Linked DNA regions of Macaca mulatta. The protein of the gene in region 1 interacts with the protein of each later gene in a pairwise test. Links are inferred from orthologs where the notes say so. Each region holds a gene or a part of one and is shown in the gene's direction. Other genes may lie near its edges.

What was found.
Region 2: the proteins of TRIM63 (region 1) and GMEB1 interact in a two-hybrid assay, tested with the Homo sapiens proteins (2 studies listed by BioGRID and IntAct). The link is inferred for Macaca mulatta from reciprocal best matches to the Homo sapiens genes TRIM63 and GMEB1.

Annotation. Positions count from the first base shown.
Region 1 is NC_133406.1:214,946,512-214,954,817, forward strand, and holds the start of TRIM63 (E3 ubiquitin-protein ligase TRIM63), read left to right. Parts: upstream 1-3,494; 5' UTR 3,495-3,632; coding exon 3,633-3,791; intron 3,792-4,674; coding exon 4,675-4,847; intron 4,848-6,646; exon of another isoform or gene 6,647-7,195; intron 7,196-7,330; exon of another isoform or gene 7,331-8,306. UniProt on the Homo sapiens protein: E3 ubiquitin ligase. Mediates the ubiquitination and subsequent proteasomal degradation of CKM, GMEB1 and HIBADH.
Region 2 is NC_133406.1:212,204,447-212,212,113, reverse strand, and holds part of GMEB1 (glucocorticoid modulatory element-binding protein 1), read left to right. Parts: intron 1-1,850; exon of another isoform or gene 1,851-1,980; intron 1,981-2,259; coding exon 2,260-2,372; intron 2,373-3,739; coding exon 3,740-3,864; intron 3,865-5,345; coding exon 5,346-5,449; intron 5,450-7,043; exon of another isoform or gene 7,044-7,253; intron 7,254-7,667. UniProt on the Homo sapiens protein: Trans-acting factor that binds to glucocorticoid modulatory elements (GME) present in the TAT (tyrosine aminotransferase) promoter and increases sensitivity to low concentrations of glucocorticoids. Also binds to the transferrin receptor promoter.

The DNA of each region.
Region 1 (8,306 bases):
CAGCTCTAGGGTTGGATAAATTGGCAACGCAATGATGGCATCTCTAACCCGGGTACCTCCTGTGGTTCCTCTATGCCATCCTCAGGGTGTTGACATCATGCTCAGCCTTGTCCCCTTGTGGTTGCAAGATAGCTGCTCTACCCTCTCACAACCCCATTCAAAGGTAAAGATGAAACTTTGTTCTTGCACATTCGTTTTTATCATGGAGGAGATCCTTTATCTTTAGCCAACAGACATATCCTTGGGTCTCATTGGCCATAACTGCATCATTAGGCAAAAGAGAATGGGGTTGTATGATAGGCTTAAACCGTTTGTAACTCATCTCCTGTGGCCGTGGAGAGGTCCATCTTCCTAGAGCACAATGCTACCCAATGCCTTAACTAAAGTGAGGTCCCATGAGCAGGGAAGAAGAGATGGCCTTTTTTCAGTCCTCATCCTCTTCCAAACCTTGGCTGACCTGACAGTGTTGACTTGACCCAAACACAGTTCAGTAGAGTCTACATTAGGAGCTTGGGTTCCTAAGTCAAGCATATCTGGGTTCATGTCCTAGAGCCACCTCGTGCTCTCTGTGTGACCTCATACAAGTATTTTACCTGTGTGCCTGAGTTTCCTCACTTGTGGAGTGGGGATATTATGGGTCTTTTGTTATTGGCTGTTGAGATGGTGAAATGAAATAAAGCATACAAAGCATTTAGCACAATGCATAGCACATAGTAAGTGCTCAGCAAAACCTAAGTGCTCAGCAAAATTTTGGGGGGCAACTCTCTCCTCAAAATCCTCCAGCCCTTTGTTTTTTGTTTTTTTTTTTTTGAGACGGAGTCTCGCTCTGTCGCCCAGGCTTGGAGTGCACTGGCCGGATCTCAGCTCACTGCAAGCTCCGCCTCCCAGGTTCACGCCATTCTCCTGCCTCAGCCTCCCAAGTAGCTGGGACTACAGGCGCCCGCCACCTCGCCTGGCTAGTTTTTTGTATTTTTTTAGTAGAGACGGGGTTTCACAGTGTTAGCCAGGATAGTCTCGATCTCCTGACCTCGTGATCCGCCTGTCTCGGCCTCCCAAAGTGCTGGGATTACAGGCTTGAGCCACCGTGCCCGGCCAGCCCTTTGTTTTTAAGGCCTCTTCCTTTTTCTGTAACTTGTTCCTCTTCTTCTTCTCCCATTTCCTCTCTTCCAAGGTTTGCTTCTCCGCTCTATGTCTTGTCTCATTTTTCCCGTCATTCCTCTTTCTTGAAATCCTTCATACCTCTCCTGAGTATTCCATGGCCTCTTAGACTTATTTTGGGACCTGATACCATTGCTCCATATCTCTGCCTCATCACCTTGGACCGGATGACCCCAGGGTCCTTTCATTAGATGCTACCTTAAAAACAGCTACTGGAGGCCAGGCACAGTGGCTCACACCTGTAATCCCAGCACTTTGGGAGGTCGAGGCAGTCAGATTGCCTGAGGTCAGGAGTTGGAGACCGGCCTGGCTAACATGGTAAAAACCCATCTCTATTAAAAATACAAAAATTAGTCGGGTGTGGTGACATACGCCTGTAGTCCCAGCTACTTAGGAGGCTGAGTCAGGAGACTCGCTTCAACCTGGGAAGCGGAGGTTGCAGTGAGCTGAGATGGCACGACTGCACTCCAGCATGGGCAACAGAGTGAAACTCCGTCTCGAAAAAACAAAACAAAACAAAACAAAACAGCCACTGGAACTGCTCTAATGACTTCTACCTGCCAATGTGGAAGATGTCCTAAGAAATACGGAGAAAAGTTAAAATGTGTGCAGAGAGCTGAGGGAAGCCTTCTAAGTGTCCAGGCAGGGCTTTGTGGCACCGCATGAGGGGTTTTCCTTTCTTTTCTTTTTTTTGAGACAGAGTCTCACTCTGTCACCAGGCTGGAGTGCAGTGGCACGATCTCCGCTCACTGTAACCTCCACTTCCTGGGTTCAAACAATTCTCCTGCCTCAGCCTCCCGAGTAGCTGGGATGACAGGTGTGTGCCATCACACCCAGCTAATTTTTGTATTTTTAGTAGAGACAGGGTTTCGCCATGTTGGCCAGGCTGGTCTCAAACTCCTGACCTCAGGCAATCCGACTGCCCACTTCAGCCTCCCAAAGTGCTGGGATTATAGGCGTGAGCCACCGCACCCGGCAGGTTTTTCCTTTCTATCTGCCTTCCTCGGCTGTGAGTTTCTTGCGGCAGGGAAACAGATCACTCATCCATTTGTCATGTTGTGATGTATACTAGTTGCCTGATGTATACTAGTACTCAGAAACATGTCTGATGAATGAATAAAATGTCTGGCTTTGCCACTTACTTTCTTCTTCTTTTTTTTTTTTTTTTTTGTTTTGTTTTGTTTTGAGATAGAGTTTCTCTCTTGTCGCCCAGGCTGGAGTGCAGTGGCGCCATCTCAGCTCACTGCAATCTCTGCCTCTCGGGTTCAAGTGATTCTCCTGCTTCAGCCTCCCGAGTAGCTGAAATTACAGGCTCGCACCACCACACCCAGCTAAGTTTTGTATTTTTAGTAGAGATGGGGTTTCACCATGTTGGCCAGGCTAGTCTTGAACTGCTGACCTCGTGATCCACCTGCCTCAGCCTCCCAAAGTGCTGGGATTACAGGTGTGAGACGCCACACCCGGCTGTCACTTACTTTCTAACTGACTTTGAATATAATCCTTTTCTTCTCTAGTCCCATTTCAAAATCTATAAGATGAGGGGACTGGACTGCGTTTCAAGGGAGGCCTTTCAGCACTGAGTGAAATAAGTGGCCAAGGGATGGAGGATGGGCTGGCTGGGGTGGGGGTCTCCACTGTCTCCAGCAAAATGCTGTGCTGAGGTCTGAGGCAGAGGGATGAGCTCAGAGAGAGGGCTGCCTGACCCTTCCATCTAGGAGCTGCTCAGGACTCCAGAAGAGGGGATGGAATTGATTTAGGTCAGTGAGGGGTTGAGCGGGGCTGGGAGGGGGTTGGGGTCGGGAGGCTTCAACCTGGGAGGCAGAGGTTGTAGTGAGCAGAGATCGCACCACTGCACGATCCTTTCTATCTCCCTTCCTGGGCTGTGAGTTTCTCAGGGCAGGGAAACAAATCACTCATCCATCTGTCACATTGTGATGTATATTAGTTACCTGATGTACACCAGTACTCAGAAAAATGTTCGACATTTTCATCATAGCATTGGCTATTAACCCTTTGAATCCCAGTGGCTCACTTGCTGGGTCCTATCCCTGACCCGCTAGCCTGGTGCCGGGGGGAGACCAATTTCTGGAGGAAGCTCTGGGTACCCAGTCTTCCCCTAAGCCTGCCTCTGAACAGGCTGTTCTTGTTTATGACCCCCGTCCCAGAAGAACAGCGATTGCTCATCCCTGCATGTGATTCGAGAGGGCCAGTCTTTCAGGCCTGGAGGAAACTCAAGCCCCACCAGCCGCTTGGCATCGGAATGCTCAGCTGGTCCCCTCCTGGAGCTCATGTGACCAAGATCTAGCTATAAATATCAGAGGGGCCTCAGACCAAGACAGAATTCGGGCACCAGGAGAAGGAAGCCAACAGGATCCGACCTGGTGTTTCGTGACAAAGGCAAGACTCCCCAGGTCTACTTAGAGCAAAGTCAGTAGAGGAGGCAGCTAGGCGCGGCTCTCACTCCTGCCCACAGAATGGATTATAAGTCGAGCCTGATCCAGGATGGGAACCCCATGGAGAACCTGGAGAAGCAGCTGATCTGCCCTATTTGCCTGGAGATGTTTACCAAGCCAGTGGTCATCTTGCCGTGCCAGCACAACCTGTGCCGGAAGTGTGCCAATGACATCTTCCAGGTCAGTGCCGGGTGCAGCCTCATCCGGGGGTCCCAGGTGGCTACTCGGCTTTCCGAATGAAGCCCTTCTTCTCCCTTAGCCTTCTAACTCTTTTCCCTTGGAAGTGAACCCCTGCAGAGGCCTCTAGACAGGGCTGAGAGGGGATGGGAGGCAGCTCTAGCTGTTGCAGTTCTTCTCCATGACGCGTTTCCCCTCCCCACCCTGCCCACAGCTCCCCCACCCCTGCCCTGAGCACTGCTGTTGACTCTCCAATCAAGAGTCAAATGCCTCAAGTGATAAGCGGGGAAGGCAGGGACAGGAGAGAGAAACCAGACCCCTGGGGCTGGAGCCAGGTCCTGGTGGCAAGAGGCCCAGAGCTTTGGGAGGAGGGTGTCAGGGAGGCAGTGGGCAGTAGAGGCGTCTTCCCTTTCGAGGCTGTTCCCTACAATATGGGGACAGAAGCGGCTCCAAATCCCCAAGAAAGGAAGGGGGTAGGTGTCCTGGCTGGGAGGCAGGATGCGAGGTTCCCCAGGGACACTTTACAAAATGTTCTTTCACGATATTATCTTTAAAGTAGCAGCCTTAGGAGCTTGCTCTCATTGTAATACCCATTTCATAAGTGGGCAAACTGAGGCTTAGAGAGATAAGGTTGCTTGCCCAAAATCACTCAGAGAATTAACATGACTTGAACCCAGGTCTCCTGCCTCCCCATCCTGACGATTGCTTAGCTGCATCTCAGGTGCTCTGTATGTGAGGACTGGTTCTCATCACAGCCTGCGGAGCTCCAGGTCATTAGGTTTGACTGGGGTGGTTGGGGCAGGCAGAGGAAAGGATAAGAGGAGATTAGAAAGGGGAAGGGCTGAGGAGGGAGCCCAGGCCTCACCTTGACCTTTGCCACCTGCAGGCTGCAAATCCCTACTGGACCGGCCGGGGCAGCTCGGTATCCATGTCTGGAGGCCGTTTCCGCTGCCCCACCTGCCGCCACGAGGTGATCATGGATCGTCACGGAGTGTACGGCCTGCAGAGGAACCTGCTGGTGGAGAACATCATTGACATCTACAAACAGGAGTGCTCCAGGTCGGTTCTCATGCCTGCTGGGGGCCCATCCTCCTTCTCAGCCATGCTGTGCCCAGCTCCCCCAAGCTCCTTCCCCTTCCTTCATCTGCTCAGGATCCAGGCCTCTAGCTGGACTAGCTACACGAGCCAGTTCAGAGACAGGATTGGAGACCCATACACCCCAACTCGGCGCTCAGGATCACTCAGCAGATGGGAAGGGGTCCAGACATTAGGCTGCCCTTCCAGGCGATACCAAGACAGAGACTGGGGGAAAGATGAGATGTGAGAGGGAGAGAAAGGCCCTGGGGCCAGCTAAGTGGCTCCAGTCAGCAGAGAAAATGCCCAGTGAGAAACAGCCAGGTTGTCTATAAGGATAGCAACAGCTACTTTCCTGTGTGCCACGAGGAACTGTCAGGCACGGGGAATGCTTCATCTTAGTACCTTCCGATAACTCTATGAATCAGGCATGACTTTATTATCCTCATTTCACAGGTGAGGAAACTGCCCAAGAGGTGAAGTCAATTAGCTAAGGTTTTCCAGCTGGAAAGTGAAAGAGCTGGGAGCTGGCCCAGTTGATCTAGCTCTGAGTCTCCCTGCTAATAAAATAGCAGCTCATTCAGAGGCAGAATGTGTAACTGGTGGAGGTTGTGCAGGGTTAGCCTTAAACTGGGGAGAGAGGGCCAGGTGTGGTGGCTCACGCTCGTAATCCCAACACTCTGGGAGGCCAAGGTGGGATGATTGTTTGAGGCCAGGAGTTCAAGACCAGTCAGGGCAACATAGAGAGACCCTGTTTCTACAAAGGTTAAAAACTAGCTGGGCGTGGTGGGGCATGCCTGCAGTCCCAGCTCTTCAGGAGAATTGTTGAGCCAGGGAGGTCAAGGTTGCACAGCCATGATCGTGCTACTGCACTCCAGCCTGGGTGACAGAGTGAGACTATGCCTCAAACAAACAGACAAAAAAACTGGGAGGCCAGGCGCAGTGGCTCATGCCTGTAGCCCCAGCACTTTGGGAGGCCAAGGTGGGTGGATCACTTGAGGTCAGGAGTTGGAGACCAGCCTGGCCAACATGGTGAAATCCCATCTCTACTAAAAATACAAAAATTAGCCGGTCGTGGTGGCGCATGCCTGTCATCCCAGCTACTTAGGAGGCTGAGGCAGGAGAATTGCTTGAACCAGGGAGACAGAGGTTGCAGTGAGCAGAGATCGTGCCACTACACTCCAGCCTGGGTGACAGAGTGAGACTCCATTTAAACACACACACACACACACACACACACACACACACACCACAAAAATTTGGGAGAGACACAGCTACAGGAAAGATTTTTACAAACCAGGACATCCTGGTAAGACTCCAGGAGTGCTGACTCACAGCCTTTAAGGTCTAAAACCTTCACCAAGCATCTGCCTGCAAGCACTGCCCAGTCCAAGGGAAGGTGACAGACCAGATCTCAGGTAAAAAAACCCTGGCCTGGGGAACTGTGCTTGCTAGTCAGCCTCTGTGACTGATGTACTGTACCATCTTGGGTAAGCCTTTAGAGTTTCATTTCCTCTGTCTGCAAACAGAAACAGTAAGATCTGTTATTGTGGCTGTCAAATAAGATATTAATGGAAAATGATTAATGTATCAACTATTTATTGGGTACCTACTGTGTGCAGGCGCTGTATGAAGTACTTTCAGGCATTTTCCCTATCTATTTCTTTTTTTTTTTTTTTTTTTGAGACGGAGTCTCGCTCTGTCGCCCAGGTTGGAGTGCAGTGGCGCGATCTCGGCTCACTGCAAGCTCCGCCTCCCGGGTTCACGCCATTCTCCTGCCTCAGCCTCCTGAGTAGCTGGGACTACAGGCGCCCGCCACCGCGCCCGGCTAATTTTTTGTATTTTTAGTAGAGACGGGGTTTCACCGTGGTCTCAATCTCCTGACCTTGTGATCCGCCCGCCTCGGCCTCCCAAAGTGCTGGGATTACAGGCGTGAGCCACCGCGCCCGGCCTCCCTATCTATTTCTTATAGTAACCCAGGAAGGCATTCCCGTCTCCATTTTACCATGAGGAAATTGAAGCTCAGAGAGGACAAGGGATTTTTCCAAGACCACACAGCTAGCAAGTGGTAGAGCTAAGAAAGAGAGGGTGTGGGAATTTTCTTTTTTTTTTTTTTGAGGCAGAGTCTTGCTCTGTCGCCTAGGCTAGAGAGCAGTGGTGCGATCTTGGCTCACTGCAATCTCTGCCTCCTGGGGTCAAGCGATTCCCCTGCCTCAGCTTCCTGTGTAGCAGGGACTACAGGCATGTGACAACGTGCCCAGCTAAGTTTTGTTTTTTAGTAGAGACAGGGTTTCACCACGTTGGCCAGGCTGGTCTCAAACTCCTGACCTCAGGTGATCTGCCCGCCTTGGCCTCCCAAAATACTGGGATTACAGACATGTACCACCATACCCAGCTAATTTTTGTATTTTTTGTAGAGACAGGATTTCACCACGTTGGCCAGGCTGGTCCTGAACTTCTGACCTCAGGTGATCCACCCGCCTTGGCCTCCCAAAGTGCTGGCATTACAGGCGTGGGCCACCATGCCCGGCTGGCCAGTGAATATTCTTAATTACTGTGCTAGATTGCTTCTCATGTTGCTAGAGCGCAACACTACAAAATGCAAACATATTGTTGATCATAAGGAATAATAAAATCAATTCCACACCAATGTTAGCCCACCCAGTGCCAACCTATGAAGAGCGCGTTGTGTGTGAACCTTTGAGGCCTTTCCGCATAGTTGAATGGCAACGACAGCTGCCCTCTATTGAGAGTCTGCTCTGTGCCGGGCACTCCACATTCATTACAGACAATTTCTACCATGATTGCAATAGCTCTGGGAGGAATCCCAGGCAAGAGAGTGAAATCACTTGTCCAGAATCACAAAAATGAATGTGGAAGAACAATCTGGATATGAACCCCGACGCCAAAGTCGAAACTCGAGAGGGTGGGCATCTGGGAGGAACCAGACCCTCAGGCTCTTGCCTCACCTCTGCATTCCCTGCCATCCCTTTATAAGGGGATGGAGGCAGGTGGCAATGGCAGACCCCTGCCAGCATAAGGACCCTGGGGTAAAAGATGCAAAAAGACAAGCCTGGAAAGGGGTTTATTTAAGAACTTAAGAGGACAGTAGAGCCCAGTGTGCGATCAGTCATGTAAGGCTGTTTGGAGGTGAGGCATTGACACTGATGGGGACAGTCACCATTTGACATTTGCAAGATGCCTGTTCTGTTCGGGGCTGGGAATCGAAGGTAGTGTTGGCTCTCAATGAGTATATAGTCTAGATGGCGACAGAAGCTAAAAAAATCGAATCTACACCAGGCATGGTGGTATGCACCAGTTGCAGCTACTGGGGAGGCTGAGGCAGGAGGATTGCTCAGCCCAGGAGTTCAAGGCTGCAGTGTGTCTGTGAATTGCTGCTGCACTCCAGCCTGGACAATACGGTGAGACACTGTCTCCAAAAAA
Region 2 (7,667 bases), about 2.7 Mb from region 1:
TGGAGTTGAGAAAGAGGAAAAGAAAATCTAGTGTGATTCCCAGATTTCTGTCTGCAGTGTGCTGAGTGGTGCTATTAACAAGGATGGAGAGTATAGGAAGAATAATAGTTTGAGGGTGGTCAGGAAGAGGGAACTTGATGGTTATTTTAGACATAATGAATTCGTCAAAGTCCTATGAGACTTCCAAATGTATTTATTTGGCTGAGTGTGGTGGCTCACGCCTCTAATCCCAGCACTTTGGGAGGCTGAGGTGGGAGGATCACCTGAGGTCGGGAGTTCGAGACCAGCCTGACTAACATGGAGAAACCCTGTCTCTACTAAAAATACAAAATTAGCTGGGTGTGGTGGCGCATGTCTATAATCCCAGCTACTTGGGAGGCTGAGGCAGAAGAATTGCTTGAACCTGGAAGGCAGATGTTGCGGTGAGCCAAGATCGTGCCATTGCACTCCAGCCTAGGCAATAAAAGCGAAATTCCATCTCAAGAAACAAACACACACACAAATGTATTTATTCATTTAGCAGTTGGCTATGTTTGAGTGTGAAATTCAGAAGGGAGGTCTGTACTAGAGGTATCACTGTGGAGGTAGTCATTGATACAAAGGAGAATATTCAGGCAGTGCTTTCAAGTAACAAGATGCAATAATTAGCACATCAAGTTTATTATAGAAATTAAATAAAGGATGTTGATTGTTGATGTATCAAGTTACATTATCTGACCCCATAAATGTAGAGATATCTTGGAGAGATCTGCATTATATAACCTTCTCTAAGTGGTGCCTCTAGTCACTCCTAGTTACTTTGGATGTAGTTTCTCTCTTACTTTTCTTCCACTAGGCTTTGCTCATGTCAATAGTTTGGTTATGGTACCTTAAAAGATGCTAAAAACAAACAAACAAACACCTCCCACCCCAACGGCAAAATACACTGTTTCCAACAAGGGACGTCAACTTTTCAGTCAGCCTGGTTCTTCCTGTCTCAAACTATCTGCTGGTACTACTTTTTAGTCTTCTCAGGGTAATTCCATAATATGAATTAGTCGTGTACTTGTAGCCATACTATGCCATGGGCATTTAAAGTGTTTTTTTTTTTTTTTTTTTTTTTTGGAGATGGAGTGTTGTTCCATTGCCCAGGCTGGAGTGCAGTGGTGCAATTTCAGCTCACTGCAACCTCCGCCTCCCTGATTCAAGTGATTCTCCTGTCTCAGGCTCCTGAGTAGCTAGGATTACAGGTGCACCACCATGCCTGACTAATTTTTGTATTTTTAGTAGAGATGGGGTTTCACCATGTTGGTCAGGCTGGTCTCAAACTCCTGACCTCGTGATCTGCCCACCTTGTCCTCCCAAAGTGCTGGGATTACAGGCGTGAGCCACCACACACAGCCTAATTTTTTTGTATTTTTAGTAGAGATGGGGGTTTCACCACGTTGGCCAGGCTGGTCTCGAACTCCTGACCTCAGGTGATCTGTCTGCCTCGACCTCCCAAAGTGCTGGGGTTACAGGCATGAGCCACCATGCCCGGCCCATTTAAAGTTACGAAGGGAGCCAGGCGCGGTGACTCATGCCTGTAATCCCAGCACTTTGGAAGGCCGAGGCGGGTGTATCACAAGGTCAGGAGATCGAGACCATCCTGCTAACACAGTGAAACCCTGTCTCTACTAAAAATACAAAAAAAATTAGCTGGGCATGGTGGTGGGCGCCTGTAGTCCCAGCTTCTCAGGAGGCTGAGGCAGGAGAATGGTGCAAACCTGGGATGCAGAGCTTACAGTGAGCCGAGATTGCACCTCTGCACTCCAGCCTGGGAGAGAGAGTGAGACTCTGTCTCAAAAACAAAAAAAAAGTTATGAAAGGAGTGGACATTTATTTTTATTCAGTTTCTTCTCAAGGTGAAGGTAACTGTTTGTAAATGTCCTAGAGAAATATGGTAGCTTTCTGTTCACCCTTTGCAAGTAAAAAGCGTGGATTATTCCACCGCTGACATTTAAAAAATAAAGTTATGAAGGGAAGTCTGGTGTAATACAGTAGTAGCAAGTGGTGGTGTAAATAAATAAGTAGCAAGAATTACTTTCCTTTGAGGTGAGGAGAGTTGTCGATTCATTTCCATGGTAGAAGCTGCTAAGCAGTCCTGGGAAGTTTGGAGTTTAAATATAATGGGAAACTAGTCAGAGTTTAAAGTATATTTATTTTATTTATTTTGAGATAGATTGAAACAAATTTCTTAACCCCATGCTGTGAATATTAATTTTTTCATGATTTATGTAGTTTGTTTATCGATGGACACTTTTACAACAGGATTTATGAAGCTGGGTCGGAGAACAACACGGCAGTTGTAGCAGTAGAAACTCACACGATACACAAAATTGAAGAAGGGATTGGTAAGGTTTTTTTTTGTTTTTTTTGTTTTTGTCATTCTAATGCCTTTGACTTTAGCTTCCTTGGTTGAGTTTTCTTGCCATCTGTGCCTTATGTTTTTCTCCCATCCCTGTGTGCCCTACCAGTACTACAGCCCTCGATTTTGATGGTGGTACATCTTGAGACACCACTGACTTAAGATGCTAGGGTCATCAGTTGGTTGGTTAACGTCAGTTTGGAAGGGTAACTGAAAAGACTTTTTATCTATAAAAATCCCACATAGAAATTGGAGCCTCAAAGTTGATACCTGTCATTAAAGAAGTTGTTGATGACTGATAAGGTATTGTTTAGAAGGCAGTCAGTGGAAAGAAACTGGAAAGAAACTTTGAAATTTAACAAATCTGAGTTGAAATCCCAATTTCTCACCTCTAAGTGTGTCCTTGGGAAAGTCAGTTAACCTGAGGCCCATATACTTATATTTAACACCTAGGAAACAATTAATTAATTAATTAATTTTAAAAAAAACCTAATCGAGCACAGTGGCTCATGCCCGTAATCCCAACACTTTAGGAGGCCAAGGCGGGGGATCACCTGAGGTCAGGAGTTTGAGACCAGCCTGGCCAACATGGCGAAACCCCATCTCTACTAAAAGTATAAAAATTAGCCTGGCGTGGTAGTGGGCGCCTATAATCCCAGTTACTCAGGAGACTGAGGCAGGAGAATTGCTTGAATCCGGGAGGCATAGGTTGCAGTGAGCTGAGATTGTGCCACTGCACTCCAGCCTGGGCAACAAGAGTGAGACTTCATCTCCAAAACAACAACAACCACCAAAAAAACACCACCTACACCGGGCGAGGTGACTCACGCCTGTAATCCCAGCACTTTGGGAGGCCAAGGCGAGTGGATCACTTGAGGTTAGGGGTTCAAGACCAGCCTGGCCAAGATGGTGAAACCCCATCTCTACTAAAAATATAAAAATTAGCCAGCGTGGTGGTGTGTGGTATATGGCTGTAATCCCAGCTACTTGGAAGGCTGAGGCAGGAGAATTGCTTGAACCCGGAGGCATAGGTTGCAGTGAGCCAAGATCATGCCACTGCACTCCAGCCTGGGTGATAGCGTGAGACTCCATCTCAAAAAAGGCAAAAAGAAAAAAAAAAACACCTAGGAAATAATCACTGCCTCACAGGATTGTTGTAAGAACGGTGTCTGGCACACTGTGGGAGCTTGGGAAGAGAGAGCTGTTAGGCCAGACTTCTTCCAGAGGATCCCTAAACGATACCAGCAAGAGTGAAGTGTTAGTCCCTCAGAGGAACCAGGAGACTAGAGATTTTGAGTTTCAGCTTTGGGGAAGAGTTGTTTGATAAATAACGGATTTTTTTTCTGTTTTCAGATACAGGCACTATAGAAGCAAATGAGGATATGGAAATTGCTTACCCTATAACTTGTGGGGAGAGCAAAGCCATCCTCCTCTGGAAGAAGTTTGTGTGTCCGGGAATAAATGTGAAGTGTGTCAAGGTAATTGTCTTCTCCATGCTGAAGCCAATTTTGGGACTCCTTGTTTTCAAAGGGTGTCAGTTCCATGCATCCTTTTTCTCTTGCACTAGATCAGGTTTTTTTTTTGATGGCTATTGTTCTAATGTGTCACAATAGAAAAAATAAGAACTTTGGGTTGGATGTGGTGGCTCATACCTGTAATCCTAACACTTTGGGAGACCAAGGTGGAAAGATCACTTGAGCTTAGGAGTTCGAGACCAGCCTGGGCAACATGGTGAGACATTGCGTGACTTTCTCTGTTGCCCAGGCTAGAGTGCAATGACACGATCTTGGCTCACTGCAGCCTCCACCTCCTGGGTTCAGGTGATTCTCCCACCTCAGCCTCCTGTGTAGCTGGGACCACAGGTGTGCACCACTGTGCCTGGCTAATTTTTGTAGAGATGGAAGGTTTTGCTATGTTGCCTGGGCTGGAAAACCTTGCATCTTCAAAAAATATATTGGCGGCCAGGCGCGGTGGCTCACGCCTGTAATCTCAGCACTTTGGGAGGCCGAGGCGGGCGGATCACGAGGTCAGGAGATCGAGACCATCCTGGCTAACACGGTGAAACCCCGTCTCTACTAAAAATACAAAAAATTAGCTGGGCGTGGTGGCAGGTGCCTGTAGTCCCAGCTACTCGGGAGGCTGAGGCAGGAGAATGGCGTGAACTCAGGAGGCGGAGCTTGCAATGAGCTGAGATCGCACCGCTGCACTCCAGCCTGGGCGACAGAGCGATACTCTGTCTCAAAAAAATATATATATATACTGGCTAGGTGAGGTGGCTTATGCCTGTAATCCCAGCACTTTGGGAGGCTGAGGTGGGTGGATCACCTGAGATCAGGGGATAGAGACCAGCCTGGACAACATGGTGAAGTCCCATCTCTACTAAAAATACAAAAATTAGCCAGGCATAGTGTTGGGTGCATATAATCCCAGCTACTGCGGAGACTGAGGCAGGAGGATCACTTGAACCTCGGGGCAGAGTTGCAGTGAGCTGAGATTGCGCTGTTGTACTCCAGTCTGGGTGACAGAGTGATGCTCTGTCTCAAAAAAAAAAAAAAAAATTATTAGATTGACTAGCCAAAAACAAAATTGATAAAAATAGAATTGCTTATGCTGTCTTCATTAGGGCTGGATAGATTATTTCAGTTTATTTGAACAGCCTTTGTTTGCCACACGAGACCCAACCACCTGATTCCAGGCATAAATGGATTTTAGAGATTTATTAATATATTTATCTCTTATCTCTGCATGTATTCTGTGGCTTTGTACCAGGAATGGAGACTGTGCTCTGAGAAGCATCGTCTTCTCTAACACAATAGTGCAGGAGTTTGGATAGTCAAGGCTTAGGATGTCATCTGGGTATTTTTTATGCAAATGATGTAGAGTTACCATTTCATTATTTCCCCTCTTGGCCTGCCTAAGTTGACATTAGACTATTTTGGACTTTTCTTTTTACTTTTAGTTCAATGATCAGTTGATCAGCCCCAAGCACTTTGTTCATCTGGCTGGCAAGTCCACTCTGAAGGACTGGAAGAGAGCTATTCGTCTGGGTGGGATCATGCTCAGGTAAGCTCTAATGTTAAGCACATACCTTTCAACAAACTTTGGGGCACGTAATCATGCTAGAATCTGGGTTTTTCTCTTTAGGTTGACATTTTTATTCTTTCTGAGAAATTGGCTTGAGCAATCCATGCATTATTTGACTTTAATCAACTTATTCTTTTTTTTTTTTTTTTTTTTTTTTTTTTTTTTTTTTTTTTTTTTTGAGACGGAGTCTCGCTCTGCCGCCCAGGCTGGAGTGCAGTGGCCGGATCTCAGCTCACTGCAAGCTCCGCCTCCCGGGTTCCCGCCATTCTCCTGCCTCAGCCTCCCCAGTAGCTGGGACTACAGGCGCCCGCCACCTCGCCCGGCTAGTTTTTTTGTATTTTTTAGTAGAGACGGGGTTTCACCATGTTAGCCAGGATGGTCTCGATCTCCCGACCTCGTGATCCGCCCGTCTCGGCCTCCCAAAGTGCTGGGATTACAGGCTTGAGCCACCGCGCCCGGCCTTTTTTTTTTTTTTTTTTTTGAGACGGAGTCTCGCTGTGTCTCCCAGGCTGGAGTGCAGTGGCGTGATCTCGGCTCACTGCAAGCTCCGCCTCCCGGGTTCACGCCATTCTCCTGCCTCAGCCTCCCGAGTAGCCGGGACTACAGGCGCCCGCCACCACGCCTGGCTAGTTTTTTTTATTTTTAGTAGAGACGGGGTTTCACCATGTTAGCCAGGATAGTCTCGATGTCCTGACCTCGTGATCCACCCGCCTCGGCCTCCCAAAGTGCTGGGATTACAGGCTTGAGCCACCGCGCCCGGCCAATCAACTTATTCTTAAAAATCCTGGGAGACAAGAAAGATTTTTTGTTTGTTTGTTTTTGAGACAGAGTCTTGCTCTGTCACCCAGGCTGGAGTGCAGTGGCGTGACCTTGGCTCACTGCAACCTCCGCCTCCTGGGTTCAAGCAATTGTAGTTTTTAGTAGAGACAGGATTTCACCATCTTGGCCAGGCTGGTCTTGAACTCCTGACCTCATAATCCACCCACCTCAGCCCCCCAAAGTGCTGGGATTACAGGCATGAGCCACTGTGCCCGGCCATTTAATTCTTTTTTTTTTTTTTTTTTTTTTTTTTTGAGACAGAGTCTCGCTCTGTCGCCCAGGCTGGAGTGCAGTGGCTGGATTCAGCTCACTGCAAGCTCCGTCTCCCGGGTTTACGCCATTCTCCTGCCTCAGCCTCCCGAGTAGCTGGGACTACAGGCGCCGCCACCACGCCCGGCTAGTTTTTTGTATTTTTTTTAGTAGAGACAGGGTTTCACCGTGTTCGCCAGGATGGTCTCGATCTCCTGACCTCGTGATCCGCCCGTCTTGGCCTCCCAAAGTGCTGGGATTACAGGTTTGAGCCACCGCACCTGGCCCATTTAATTCTTTTTAATGGGGGGAAAAAATAAAATTTTAAAAAATAAATAAAAAATTAAAAAATAAAAATAATTATTTTTAAGGAATCTCTTTCAAGAAAAATCCATAATGGGCCGGGCGCGGTGGCTCAAGCCTGTAATCCCAGCACTTTGGGAGGCCGAGACGGGCGGATCACGAGGTCAGGAGATTGAGACCATCCTGGCTAACACGGTGAAACCCCGTCTCTACTAAAAAATACAAAAAAAACTAGCCGGGCGAGGTGGCGGGCGCCTGTAGTCCCAGCTACTCGGGAGGCTGAGGCAGGAGAATGGCGTGAACCCGGGAGGCGGAGCTTGCAGTGAGCTGAGATCCGGCCACTGCACTCCAGCCTGGGCGACAGAGCGAGACTCCGTGTCAAAAAAAAAAAAAAAAAAAAAAAAAAGAAAAATCCATAATGCTTATAGAGATTCAAGCATAAAGATGTTTATTACAACATTATTTATTAATGTGAAACTTACAGTCTGCTTTAATATATAGTCAAAGACTTCTAAAGTCAATTATGACCTGTCTAAATATATATGAGTATATACTGTGAATGTTTTGCCGTCATTAAAATATTTCTGAAGAGATTTTACATGAAAAATGCTTATGACATAATTTGAAGGAAGAAAAACAGAAAATTTATTAAATTGATTTTGGCTGTGTTAAGACATATATGTAAGTAAAATTTAGTAGAAGAAAATATGCTAAAATGTTGACGTTGTCTGTGTATTGTAGGATTTTTTTGGGTTTTTTTTGAGATGGAGTCTCGCTCTGTTGCCAGGCTGGAGTACAGTGGTGCAGTCTCGGCTCACTGCAGCCT